Linked DNA regions of Arabidopsis thaliana. The protein of the gene in region 1 interacts with the protein of each later gene in a pairwise test. Each region holds a gene or a part of one and is shown in the gene's direction. Other genes may lie near its edges.

The links.
Region 2: the proteins of IAA9 (region 1) and KIWI interact in binary tests that used the Arabidopsis thaliana proteins (3 or more experiments, as listed by UniProt).

Annotation. Positions count from the first base shown.
Region 1 is NC_003076.8:26,250,672-26,258,082, forward strand, and holds IAA9 (indole-3-acetic acid inducible 9), read left to right. Parts: upstream 1-2,736; 5' UTR 2,737-3,220; intron 3,221-3,275; exon of another isoform or gene 3,276-3,464; intron 3,465-3,752; 5' UTR 3,753-3,791; coding exon 3,792-4,333; intron 4,334-4,428; coding exon 4,429-4,655; intron 4,656-4,767; coding exon 4,768-4,909; intron 4,910-5,062; coding exon 5,063-5,124; intron 5,125-5,419; coding exon 5,420-5,463; 3' UTR 5,464-5,873; downstream 5,874-7,411. UniProt on the Arabidopsis thaliana protein: Aux/IAA proteins are short-lived transcriptional factors that function as repressors of early auxin response genes at low auxin concentrations.
Region 2 is NC_003076.8:2,874,688-2,879,314, reverse strand, and holds KIWI (ssDNA-binding transcriptional regulator), read left to right. Parts: upstream 1-2,705; 5' UTR 2,706-2,835; intron 2,836-2,937; 5' UTR 2,938-2,946; coding exon 2,947-3,081; intron 3,082-3,193; coding exon of another isoform or gene 3,194-3,233; coding exon 3,234-3,339; coding exon of another isoform or gene 3,340-3,356; exon of another isoform or gene 3,357-3,710; coding exon 3,711-3,829; 3' UTR 3,830-3,834; coding exon of another isoform or gene 3,835-3,894; 3' UTR 3,895-4,127; downstream 4,128-4,627. Other genes in the region: VPS20.2 (vacuolar protein sorting-associated protein 20.2), read right to left, coding at 960-985, 1,063-1,195, 1,354-1,437, 1,594-1,746, 1,900-2,052, 2,417-2,518; AT5G09240 (ssDNA-binding transcriptional regulator), read left to right, coding at 4,535-4,627. UniProt on the Arabidopsis thaliana protein: General coactivator that functions cooperatively with TAFs and mediates functional interactions between upstream activators and the general transcriptional machinery. Binds single-stranded DNA.

The DNA of each region.
Region 1 (7,411 bases):
CCAAAAAATGAACTTACAAATTATTATCTACTAATAACGATTTCAATGAGGTATGCAGCATGTTGTTGGGTTTGTTTTGAGAGTGACGCAAATCTGTCTTTTCTCCAATCTAATCAAAGATACATAGCGATTCGGTGACATCAATTCTAGAACCAAAAAGATTTGATTAAACAGAGAAATTGACTTAATATGCATTTATAATATAAGCTCTTATGTTGTAGAAAAATCCAAACCTGTTCCACAAGCAAAAACTAAGCTGTATGGGACCATGTTGATATAGACTAAGACCCTAAGCGATATGTACAAATACAGGTGTTATACATAGAAAGAAAAAGAAACCGTTTTTTTCTTTTTCTTATATCTAATTCATATACAGCTAGATATACATGTAATTTAAAATGTTATCTTTATGTAGTAATTTATTGCGAGGGATGAAATATCTGACGGAGGTTTTATGTGAAAACTCGAAGGTGTATTTGATTTTCGGTCAAATATATTTTAATGGCTCTCTCGTATATTGATGATCACGGCTCGGTACATTGTCCTATTACGAACTCGATAAAATTAATTATATTATTTTGTTGTGCAAATCCGATTTAGTAGCTCGTCGTTTGACCCTATATTGAGACATATAAAACATATAACAATTTGCAATAAATAATTAGTTGTTTTTGTGTATTTCTAGTTAAAAAAAAATTGAAAAAATTGTGATACAAAGAATTATAAAAACGTTGACAGCAACATGACTGACTAAACGAAGAAATATCTTACGTACATTACATTTTTTTTGGGGTCAACACGTAGATTATAAATTCAACAAATCCTTAATACGAGAGAGGTAAGTATATTATGGCCCATCAAGAAGGATAGTGGCTTATGGGCCTATGTTATAATATGAAATAAAAGCCCAATTATAAATGAATTTTTATATACTAGAGTGCAAAGTCTGGGCCCAAAGTAAACAGTCTAACGTGTCTTGTCGTTTGATTTCCTCCACTCTAATTATAAATTAATTAATTACGGGGAAAAAGATTAATTAACTTTAGTGAATCCATCATCAATCAAAGACTAATAAAATAAGCGTGAAGGACAAAAGCACTACGGGTCTCATTGTCTTGTCTCAACCCGCATTATTTGTACTCGCAAATGCTGCTAATCTGATCTACTGTTTACTTTTGCATTTTTGTAATAATTTATCTGTATTACTATTATTGTTTTTTACCAATCACTTTTTAATTAGACACATATTTTCATGTACTCATAATTTTAAATATAATGTCTGATGGTAGTTGTAGTAATTTGAAATAATTAATATCCTTTACTTATTATACAGACGATTAAACAAAATATGAGAAAGAGAAAATCAAAACTTTTTACGGGGAAGGTTAAGAAATGCCGTATTATTATTCTGGACGGTGAATATTTTTCTTTTACTTTCCTCTTTGTGCATAAGGTGTTAAAGACTTTTTTTTTTGATTAATCGTCTTTAAATCTTTGGTAAAAGGAAAGAAAAAAGGTTAAAAAGAATAGAGAGGGGTAAAAAAGAGATAACGTGAGTGGTACGGAAGAGTGATGATGAAAAAAAAAGAGTCAGAGAAGGTCATGATGATGATGAACGGACACAGGCCTCTCTTACTCTCTTACCATCAAATCCTACGGTCAGATTGAGATATTTTGTGCTTCCCATGCGTGTTCTTCAATCCCATTTCACCCCTTTTGTTATTATTATGCTCCCCTTTCCCCAATTCCCATTACCTTCCTTTTTTAATTACTTTGAATTTTTTACAGTAATTTTTTTTATGTATATTACACCCGACTATAATTTTTTTCTTTTTTTCTTTTTAACACGAAAAGAATGTAACCGACTATAAAAATTAACATACATAATTTACCTGTTTATTACCAACGAATTTACTTTTTTACTTTTTAACCAATCATCCTTATTACTATGGATTAAACGTTGTGTATGATGATCGTAACAGTGCAATTCAGACATATTTAATACTCCAGAAATATGTATGTTGTTCACATTCAAATTTTGTACTTCTAACAATAACACCACAAATTATACTTTCAAAAAATGAGATTTTTTTTTTAAACTCAATTCGGACAAACTTGTATGTATCTAATTTTTGTCATGACTATAATTTTGTTTCAATCAGTTTACTTATTTAAGTGCAAATTCAACAAAAATAAAAAACAAAAATCTAGCACGTGACGTAACCTTATGAAAAAGATTAATCTATAGTCATTATTAAAGTTACTTATACTATTTACCCATTCATCTATCTAGAAGACTACAATGAATGCCAAACCAAAAAAAAAAAGCAAAATGAAAAATTCAAGTTTGGGGGGACTAACATTTCTCAATGGGCCCCATCCAGTTGGGCCAATCTAAGTAAAAAAAATTGAAAGATAAGGAAACGTAATAATGAAAGTTAAAGAAATTAGGAAGGTGGCGGAATTTAATTAAATTTAATCCGAAAGAAAGAAAGTGATTATAAAAAAAGATTAACAAGTCTTAATTAATTTTAGATTAATAAAGTAGAGATAGAGAGAGAAAGGAAGAAAGTGGAAGAGGTTAGATGTCCCATTCACCACCCGGCAAACCGACTTGGAATGCCGCTTTCTTGTCCCCTCCTCACTCCTCTTTTTCTCTCTTTACCATTTTACCCTTCATTCCTCAATCACATTATCATCACATAGAGGTTACATTAGTCATTAAAAACAAAAGGATAGAATCGGAATTTAATATTTGCAGACAACCATCCCCTTTCGGGTGGAGCCAGAAAAGTGGCATAATTTTGTTTAAAGATCCGACTCCCGACATTTGTACATCAACGGTTCATATCTGCTGATTTAAATCCGACGGTTTAGAATTATCAGCACGATCAAATCTGAGCCGTTGGATTAGAATCCATTCGTAAATAAAAATACGCAACTTTTTCCACTTATTTTCTATTCTACCACTTTGTTTAGTTATTTTAATTTTAATCTCGGCTACGAGTTTCTGGGTAATGATAATTAAGCTTTTTTCTGCTTTAATGGAAGGACCTTGACACTTCTCTCTCTCTTTCTCTTTGCTATTCATCTTCTACAGTTTCTTAAAAATTATACTCTTCTTCTCCAAAATATCTCAGACTCTCTTATTTTTGATCGTCTTCTTCTTCTTCGTTGTGAGCTTCCATTTTTCATCCAGGATTTGTTTTTTCCGTTTGAGGTAATTATGTCTTCTCTGTTCTTCTTATACATAGTTTCAAATCCGGTAATTTTTAGCTTGTTGTTGTTTGTGTGTGTAGTTAGTAGTTATTAGATCTATTAGCTATTGAGTTTCTTTGCTGATTTCCTCACTATTTCTATGGCGAATTTTGGTTTGTTTGAGCTGTTGGCTTAAACCTTGCTAGGTTTAGTGATTTGTAGATAGAATTCTGTGGAAATTCAAATCTGAGATCAGCTCGAAAAATGTAACTCAACGGTGTAGTTTCTTCATCTGACCTTAAGTTGACTTCTATTTATTTTTAGCTTTCCATTTTTTTCTCAGATTGAGCTTTATTTTGCTCTAAATTTTGGTTGTGAGTTTTTCATAGATGCAATCTACTTTTGAAACCCTAATTGATACGGTTTCGAGTTTCTTCGAATTTTGATTGAAATTGAGTTCTTGATTTTTTCTGGTAATTTAGGGTTTTGTTTGAGGATTTGTTTATGGTTATGTGAATTTAATGTGGAGGACTTTGTGCTGTGTAAATCATCAGGTAAAGCAGCTTTGCAGTTAAAGAAACCTTGAGTATCCAATGTCCCCGGAAGAGGAGCTACAGAGCAATGTATCGGTGGCTAGTTCTTCACCTACTAGCAATTGCATCTCCAGGAACACTCTAGGAGGACTTAAAGAGCATAACTACTTGGGTCTCTCTGATTGTTCTTCTGTTGGAAGCTCTACTCTCTCTCCCCTTGCTGAAGATGACAAAGCTACTATCAGCCTCAAGGCTACGGAGCTGACACTTGGTCTTCCTGGATCACAATCTCCTGCGAGAGACACAGAGCTTAACCTTTTGAGCCCAGCAAAGCTAGATGAGAAGCCATTCTTTCCTTTGCTTCCTTCTAAAGATGAGATATGCTCCTCCTCGCAAAAGAACAATGCATCGGGAAACAAAAGAGGCTTTTCTGACACAATGGATCAGTTTGCTGAAGCTAAAAGTTCAGTGTATACTGAGAAAAACTGGATGTTCCCTGAAGCAGCAGCCACCCAGTCTGTAACAAAGAAAGATGTGCCACAAAACATACCCAAAGGACAGTCTAGCACTACAAACAATAGCTCTAGTCCACCTGCAGCCAAGTATGAATAGAAGATAGGAGCATTCGTTCGATTTTGATATGGATTACTTTCAACAGCTAGCTAACTGGTGTTTTTTCGGATTCTGGAATTTTCAGGGCACAAATTGTCGGTTGGCCTCCAGTGAGATCCTACAGGAAGAACACATTGGCCACTACTTGTAAGAACAGTGACGAAGTTGATGGGAGGCCAGGTTCTGGGGCTCTCTTCGTGAAGGTCAGTATGGATGGTGCTCCTTATCTGAGGAAAGTTGACCTGAGGAGCTACACTAACTACGGGGAGCTTTCTTCAGCCTTGGAGAAAATGTTCACCACTTTCACTCTTGGTGAGATGTTTCAGTGATTGCTAGTGATGTGTTTGAAAACCTCTTTCTATTTAAGGATCAATGAATGAGTGCAGTCAAAGTAGTTAACCTGCACTGTTTATTTGATGTTTAGGTCAATGTGGATCTAATGGAGCTGCTGGGAAGGATATGCTTAGTGAGACCAAGCTCAAGGATCTTTTGAATGGAAAAGACTATGTGCTCACTTATGAGGATAAGGATGGTGACTGGATGCTTGTTGGAGATGTTCCGTGGGAGTAAGTTTCCTCTCTTATATTCAAAACTTGTTAGAAGCTTTCTCTACTCTCTGCCAGATATCTTAGAATCAAATCTAACATGCCATAGAAGATTATATCATGGTGATTGGTATAAGCGCTCATGAGTGATTTCTGATCCGATGTATATTACAGGATGTTTATTGATGTCTGCAAGAAGCTGAAGATAATGAAAGGGTGTGATGCTATTGGGTTAGGTAAAGTCTATTCTTCTCTCTGCTCCTAAGCTACAACGTAAACTACTATCTCTACTAAAACCGATTACAAGTAGTGTGTATGATGAGATTAGTGGTTTGTTGGTGTGAGTTACTTGTAGCTGATTTAGAAATTTCAATTCATGTTTGATCACTCGTCTTCTTTTGGGAGTAAATACAACAAATTAACATGTAAATAAAATCGAAATTAAACTGATTTCAATTCATGTTTGATCACTCGTCTTCTCTGATTCAAAATGTCTTAATGATTCAATGTGGTGAACTGGTGATATTGCAGCTGCAGCTCCGAGAGCAATGGAGAAATCGAAGATGAGAGCTTAAAAGATGGAACATGACAAAGCTTTCTAACTATACAAAATATGTGCGATCTTTTGGTGGTGTTTTTAAATTTCAAAACATCAATATCTTTAGTTTCTGAATTTTTAAAATGAAGTAAGTAAGACTACGAATGTAAGGAAATGAAGAAGAATTAAAAATGATCTATTTTTGTTGTTTGTTTGTTGCTTTAGTCAGTAAACTGGTCGTTGTTTTATGTTTTGTGTTTGATTTGGATGTGTGGTTGACTTCTACCTTTGAGATATTATTTGATGTAACGTTTTTGTTATTCTCTTCTTTGCTTCTTCTCGAGAAGAGAAGATAGACAATCCGGTTTTACGATTTGGCTTTCTATCATTGAACATGGAGGTTCTTCTTCTGCATTTGCAAAACAATCTTAAATATTAATCAGTACTTAAATCTTTGAGGTGGATTGTTAAATTCTAACACATTTGAATGCGGAAGTGGTAAACCTACGTTTTTCTCAATGTCTATGACTCTATTCTAAATGGAATATCAAGATTAATCAGAAAGAAAAAAAAATCTTTTTATAACTGTCATAACTAAACTGTGCTACCAAATCATTGCCACCAACGGATCTTTAAACCAACTTGAATAATTCACCTGAAGAACCAAAAGCTACAAGACAAATCAAAGATAAATAAAAGTAATTTCGCCGGGAAAAGGTTTTGATATCATTATTTCACTTTTTAACCTTCCATGAAACTTTGTTTACCTTAGCAAGCATGGGCTGCGTACAAACTCATGATAACTATATAGTACAATCCCCAAACGAAGATATCATAAATTTCAACGAATCAGTTTTAGATTTAGTGAATAACTATAGTTTAATAGTATCGAATAATATCGTTTGAGAGAAAAATAGTCAAAGATACATGAACATAAATTCCCATATACTAATTTCCCATTTCTCATTCAAGGAACGTTTATTATTTTTCTGTTCCTGAAGGTGGAAGCATAGTGCGCCTCTTTGGGTTTGGCAATGGTGGTTTGCTTATTTGTTTTATGAAAATTATTTTTGTGATATCATTTATTGTTCATTTTTAATAATTCCGTTAGCGTTGACAAAACAATATGATTAAACCCCACCTAAAATGAAATGTTATATTCAACTGTCCAATTTTTCAAAGAGGCGTTAATTAATCAATTCCAAGGCATATATTCGATCAAGATAATTAAAGACTCATATAGTACTCTCATAGTTTAAGAGAACCTACGGGTCGAATTTAAATCACTCTTGTTACTTTAAAACTTTAATCCAAATAATGTAGTATATATCTGTGATTCTTGTAGCTAGCTTCACGTGAACTTAATAGTATACACATAAACAACAATCATTGGTCGTGAATCTCATTTAATTCGTTTCGCTTTGATGCACTTATTCGAATGGGACATACTATATACATCCATATAAGTTGATAAACTATATAGTAATATTCAATGTTTTTAAAATTAAATATATGAAATAGACTTAGGGAATGACATGTCGAATTTGTCTCCAAAAGATATGAATTGAATTATGCTTCTCAGTAATGGAACGTGGCAATACCTTTATCACTCATCTATATATGGTTGTTCCCCAAAATTATTTCTTCATCAAACGAGAAAAATAAGATTGTAAATGTAAATGATTTGATCATCTCAATGTTGCATTCAAGAATAGTATCTATAATATTTAGTTATAAGCATTAGGTATTAGGTCAATTATATTCAACTGAGTCTACGAATCGAATTGCATATTGCGTAAAAATTCAAATAAAAGAAGCTAGATAAATGAATATACGTACGATTACGAGAATGAATGTGTGTTTCTTCGATTTGGTAGACCTTCAACAAACCCACCGAATTGATGGTATCCATAGATTTCTTATCAGTTATCAGTCATGGGAGAGATTTACGATCTCATATATATGGACAAAATATATCGTATCAG
Region 2 (4,627 bases), about 23 Mb from region 1:
ATTCCATGAATGTTCATAACCATACTATTGAAATCTAAAATCGTAAGGCACTGCGAAACTGGATCCACATTTGCATAGGATTTTTGAGGAAAATACAACCAAAAGAGGGACGAAATCTAAAAGCTTTGCACAAATCCTCGAAACTAAAATTGGCGGCGAGATCTATGAAATGAACGGGCAATAGAGTTTAAATCAACCTTCTCAGAGGCATTTCCTCAAACACTTTCTGTGCATCTAGGAGATCTATGGCTACAAAACCCAGAAATTACAAAAAGAAATTCCTTGGGATCTTATTTGTTCTAAGAATACAAAAACAAAACAGGTACCTGGAGTCAAACAAAGTCGTCGAAGAACAATGAAGATTTCCAAATGAAGCTCAGAGAGCCATAGTTCTTAAACCCTATAAAGCTTTGCAAAAACCCAGATCGAGCGAGGTATTATTGATAGGTGCATAGTTTTGCTAAATAGTCGTGTTTCCGTATCGGTTTTTTTTCTTTGGTTTGTTGTAGATTAAAAAACCATACCAATTTAATACGGTTTGGTTTAATATCAATTAAGAATTTTTTTTTCTGGTTTTGAAATCTTGACAAACCAATTGGTTTGACATTCCCATTTACAAATATCTTTTAGTGAATTCTTTCTGGAAGAATTTGTAGCTTTGATTTTCACTCAGAAAAGAGGAAAATCCTATACAAAGAAAGAGAAACAATTGTTCCCACTGAGCCTAAATGTTGTCATTCATACTTTCATATGTTCAGGTCAAAGACTCTGAATCGGTTTTAGAAACAACCAAACCATTTTACAAGGAGAGAGACTCCATGAACTTGGTTCTTTACAAGCTGCAGGAGTAAGAAGAGAATACACAAAGATCTTCAAGAGCCCATAACAAAAAGGTTTCCAAAGAATGATTATAATCCGAGGTGGCTATGTAGTAGTCTATCAGATTCTTCACTTCTGAATCAAGCTTCCAAAGGTTCTTCAAGAACTGCAACAACAAAAGCATCTATGAGTTAAAGGTTCTTTGTATGAAGCAATTGTTACTTGAACAAACATCACAAAAACCTTTTCTCTTTGTTGAAGTGGTTTCATTGGAAGCGACTGGTGCTTTTGTTGGCACATCAGGGAGATCCATTTTCTCGGGTTCTTCAGGCATGAGCTCTGTCGTAGGCACTTCAGGCATATCTTCAACAATCAGCTTCAAAACAAACAAACATTATATATCACATTTGACTCCACTCAAGAAGATTGTTTCACAAAGTAAATGGTGGTACTCGAAACATCAATAGGGCAGTACGGTCATAATGCTGGAAACAATTGTATCTGAGAAACAAGAGAATCCATTATGTAGCATACCAGACTTTCTAGGTTGTCGAATTCTGCTAAGATCTCTTCTTCATCTTCCGCTGATAGTTTCTCACCTAATATGGCACTCAGTTCCTAAAATCAAAGTGTTTAACAGTTAGATCAAGCAAGGGAATACTCATAACCATGAAGGAGAAAAACAAGGAGAAGCTCGGCAAATGTGACAAATGATTGTAACTATAAGCGAACCACACAAACAAAAAGGAACAACAAGATTCACTATTAACTCACATCCTGATAAGCCTTGGCCTCGGCAGTGTCATCCATCAGTTTTTGAACATCATCAAGGTTGACCTCGCTCTGAATCGCCTTAATTGCATTGTTACCTTGCTTTAAGCTCTCAAAGACTGCTTTTTGCTTGCTTGTAAGTTCGATATCTGCCAACTGAGTCATAAAGACAGGTTCAAAATATATTCGTTTATGTTTCTTTCAAAACATAAAATCAGCTATAAAAGAAAAGAAAAGTACTGTTTATATAGCACTAAGGTTATGTGATGGAAACAAGGAGATGATAAGAAGAAGGTCAAGCCAATTTACTTGTTGTTCGACATTGATGAGCCACTGATCTACTTGCTTCAACAACTCTTCTTGTGTCCGTTTTTTCTTCAATGCTAACAAAGCCCTGTCCTTTCGCTTCTCACGGATTAAGTCTCTTGCAGCTTGCTTTTCTGCTTCAATTACTTTCTCAAGCTAAAAAGAAAGGTTTAAGAGAAAGAAAGGTCAAAGCTCAGGATCATAGGAAAGAAAAAAAAAACATTTGCATTCCACTTTCTCAGCGATCAAACTCACTATCTACCAATAGTGGCGATGAAATAATTAAACCATCATTAGCTTGACATAAGAATCAACATTTGGATCCAAGACAGATTCTGAAGGCAACTTCTACATTTAACTGCTTCTTAAACCTCGAGAACCCATAGCCGAAATTCAGTAACCTTTACCCTTATTCATAACCATTAGTGAATCGAATCAAACTGCACTTTCTGTCTCAGACCAAATTCGAGCAAGAATAAACCCTAGAAATGCGAAATCACAAGGCGAAGGAATCAAGAACCTGTTGCTGATATTGACCAAGCTTGCGCCTTTGGGTTTTGAGAGAGAGAATCGCTCGATCAACCTCCGTGATCTTCGGTTTCTTCACGAATAAATTCCCCATCGAGTTTTGTCAAGGGTTCGGCGATTTCAAACCAAGTCCAAATCTTTTTGTTTTCACCTTTCCCAAGCAAAAAAGCTCCCGCGTTTTCTCAAATTCGCGTTTATAAAAAAGCGTTCCGAATCAAAACAACTGTCACAGTTCTAATTTTATCACACGCTCTGCAACAGCGCGTGGTCGGTGAACACATTAACATAAATACGCGAGAAGAGACGCGCCGATTCATTTTTCTTCAGAATCTCTCAATTCTCTTTTGTCGATTTCGCAGTAGAAGAGTCCTTTCGCCGTCTCCGAGAAACTCGTTGCAGCGTCACGACCAGGTTTCCTTCTCACTTTTACTAAATTTTGTAATTGCTCGGTTTTTTGTTTAGTGCGAGTTTACTCTGGTCTGAAGAGAACATTTTGGGTCTGCTTATTTACAGTTGGAGAAAATGTCTTCTAGAGGAAAAAGGAAAGACGAAGATGTCAGAGCATCAGATGACGAATCTGAAACCCACGCGCCGGCTAAGAAAGTCGCAAAGCCAGCAGACGATTCCGACCAGTCTGACGATATCGTCGTCTGCAACGTTAGTCTACACTTTCTGTCTATCTTTCAATTTCGTTATCTACTCTATTAGCAGTGAGCTTATGGGTTTCGGTCAAGTTTTAATTTTGTTGATGTGTTTTGCTCAAAATTAGGGTTTTAATCAAATTAGGGTTCATGTTGGTTATACATCAGATATCTAAGAATAGGAGAGTCTCTGTAAGGAATTGGAACGGGAAGATTTGGATTGACATTCGTGAGTTCTATGTCAAGGACGGAAAGACTTTGCCTGGCAAGAAAGGTAACTTTATTTTGTAATTTAAACCAATGCCCCTTGGCTCTCATAATTCATTATTTCTAGTAATGTGTTTCCTCATCTCTTAGTTTTATATTTCGTTACTGTTTTGCTTTGTTAAGTTTCTGCATTTAGTCAGGTTTATAGAATTGCATATCTTAGGGTTTTATAATAGGCAATTCTGCTTATTGAGACTGTTTATGGACTTGTAAGTATGAGCGGAGATGGTGCAGAGTGTTTGCTTTTGTACAACAACGTTTTGTTTATTTTGGTGCTATTGCTCCTTCATGTCTTTCTCTAGAGACAGCTATATTAGTTTATCTCTACATAACTAATCATGTTGACAAGATTATCTCTATGTTTGTTATACGTTGCAGGTATCTCTCTAAGCGTGGATCAGGTACTCACATCTCTTTCTATCTCTCTCCACTGTTTTATGTCTCCTAGAAGTGTTTCTGTTTTCTTGTTATTTGCTTATTACACAGCTTTTCCTTAATGCAGTGGAACACTCTTCGGAACCACGCAGAGGATATCGAGAAGGCCCTCTCTGACCTTTCTTAGGTTTTAAAACTTGTATCATTGGTTGTACGTCTATTAGAATATGGCTCAGTTGTTTTGGTTGTTTTTGTAGAACAACACCATGTTCTGCTAGTGTAAGCTGCTTCAAATTAGTTGGTGTATGGAATCTTTCACTTTTGGTTCAGACAAGCTTTGGTTGGTATTAAGAATATAATGATTGCTCTTTTATTTACTGCTGTAGTGCTGTTTTATTTGCAAATTAAGATACGTTGCAGGAATACAAGTATTCATTTGATAAGTTATAAACAAGATAGGTCTAAATGTTACATAGCTCTTGCCAAACTTCACTTGATCCGGACAAGGCCATAAGCAGACATTGTCTTTGAAGATGAACCCATCACAATAAATGTATCACTCTGTGTTGCTACTTTCATTGCTATAGTTGCTCTTTTCCAAAGAATATTTACCTTCCCAAAAAACTCCCCCGTTTTAAGTTTGGCCGCGCGTGTTCTCAAACTGTGCGCTTGTAAAATGGCGTTCCGAATCTGATATCACAGTTGTAATTCGGTGAACGCAGTAGATATATTACGCGAGAAAAGGAGAGAGGTGCTTTTTATTTAACTTGAGAATCTCAAGAGTCAATTTTTGCAGTAGAAGAGTGTTTTTTTTAGAGGTTAAGAAAATGTCTGAGAACGGAAAAAGGAAAGACGAGGATGTCAGAGCATCAGACGACCGCGACGAATCTGAGACCCACGCGCCGCCTAAGAAAGTGGCA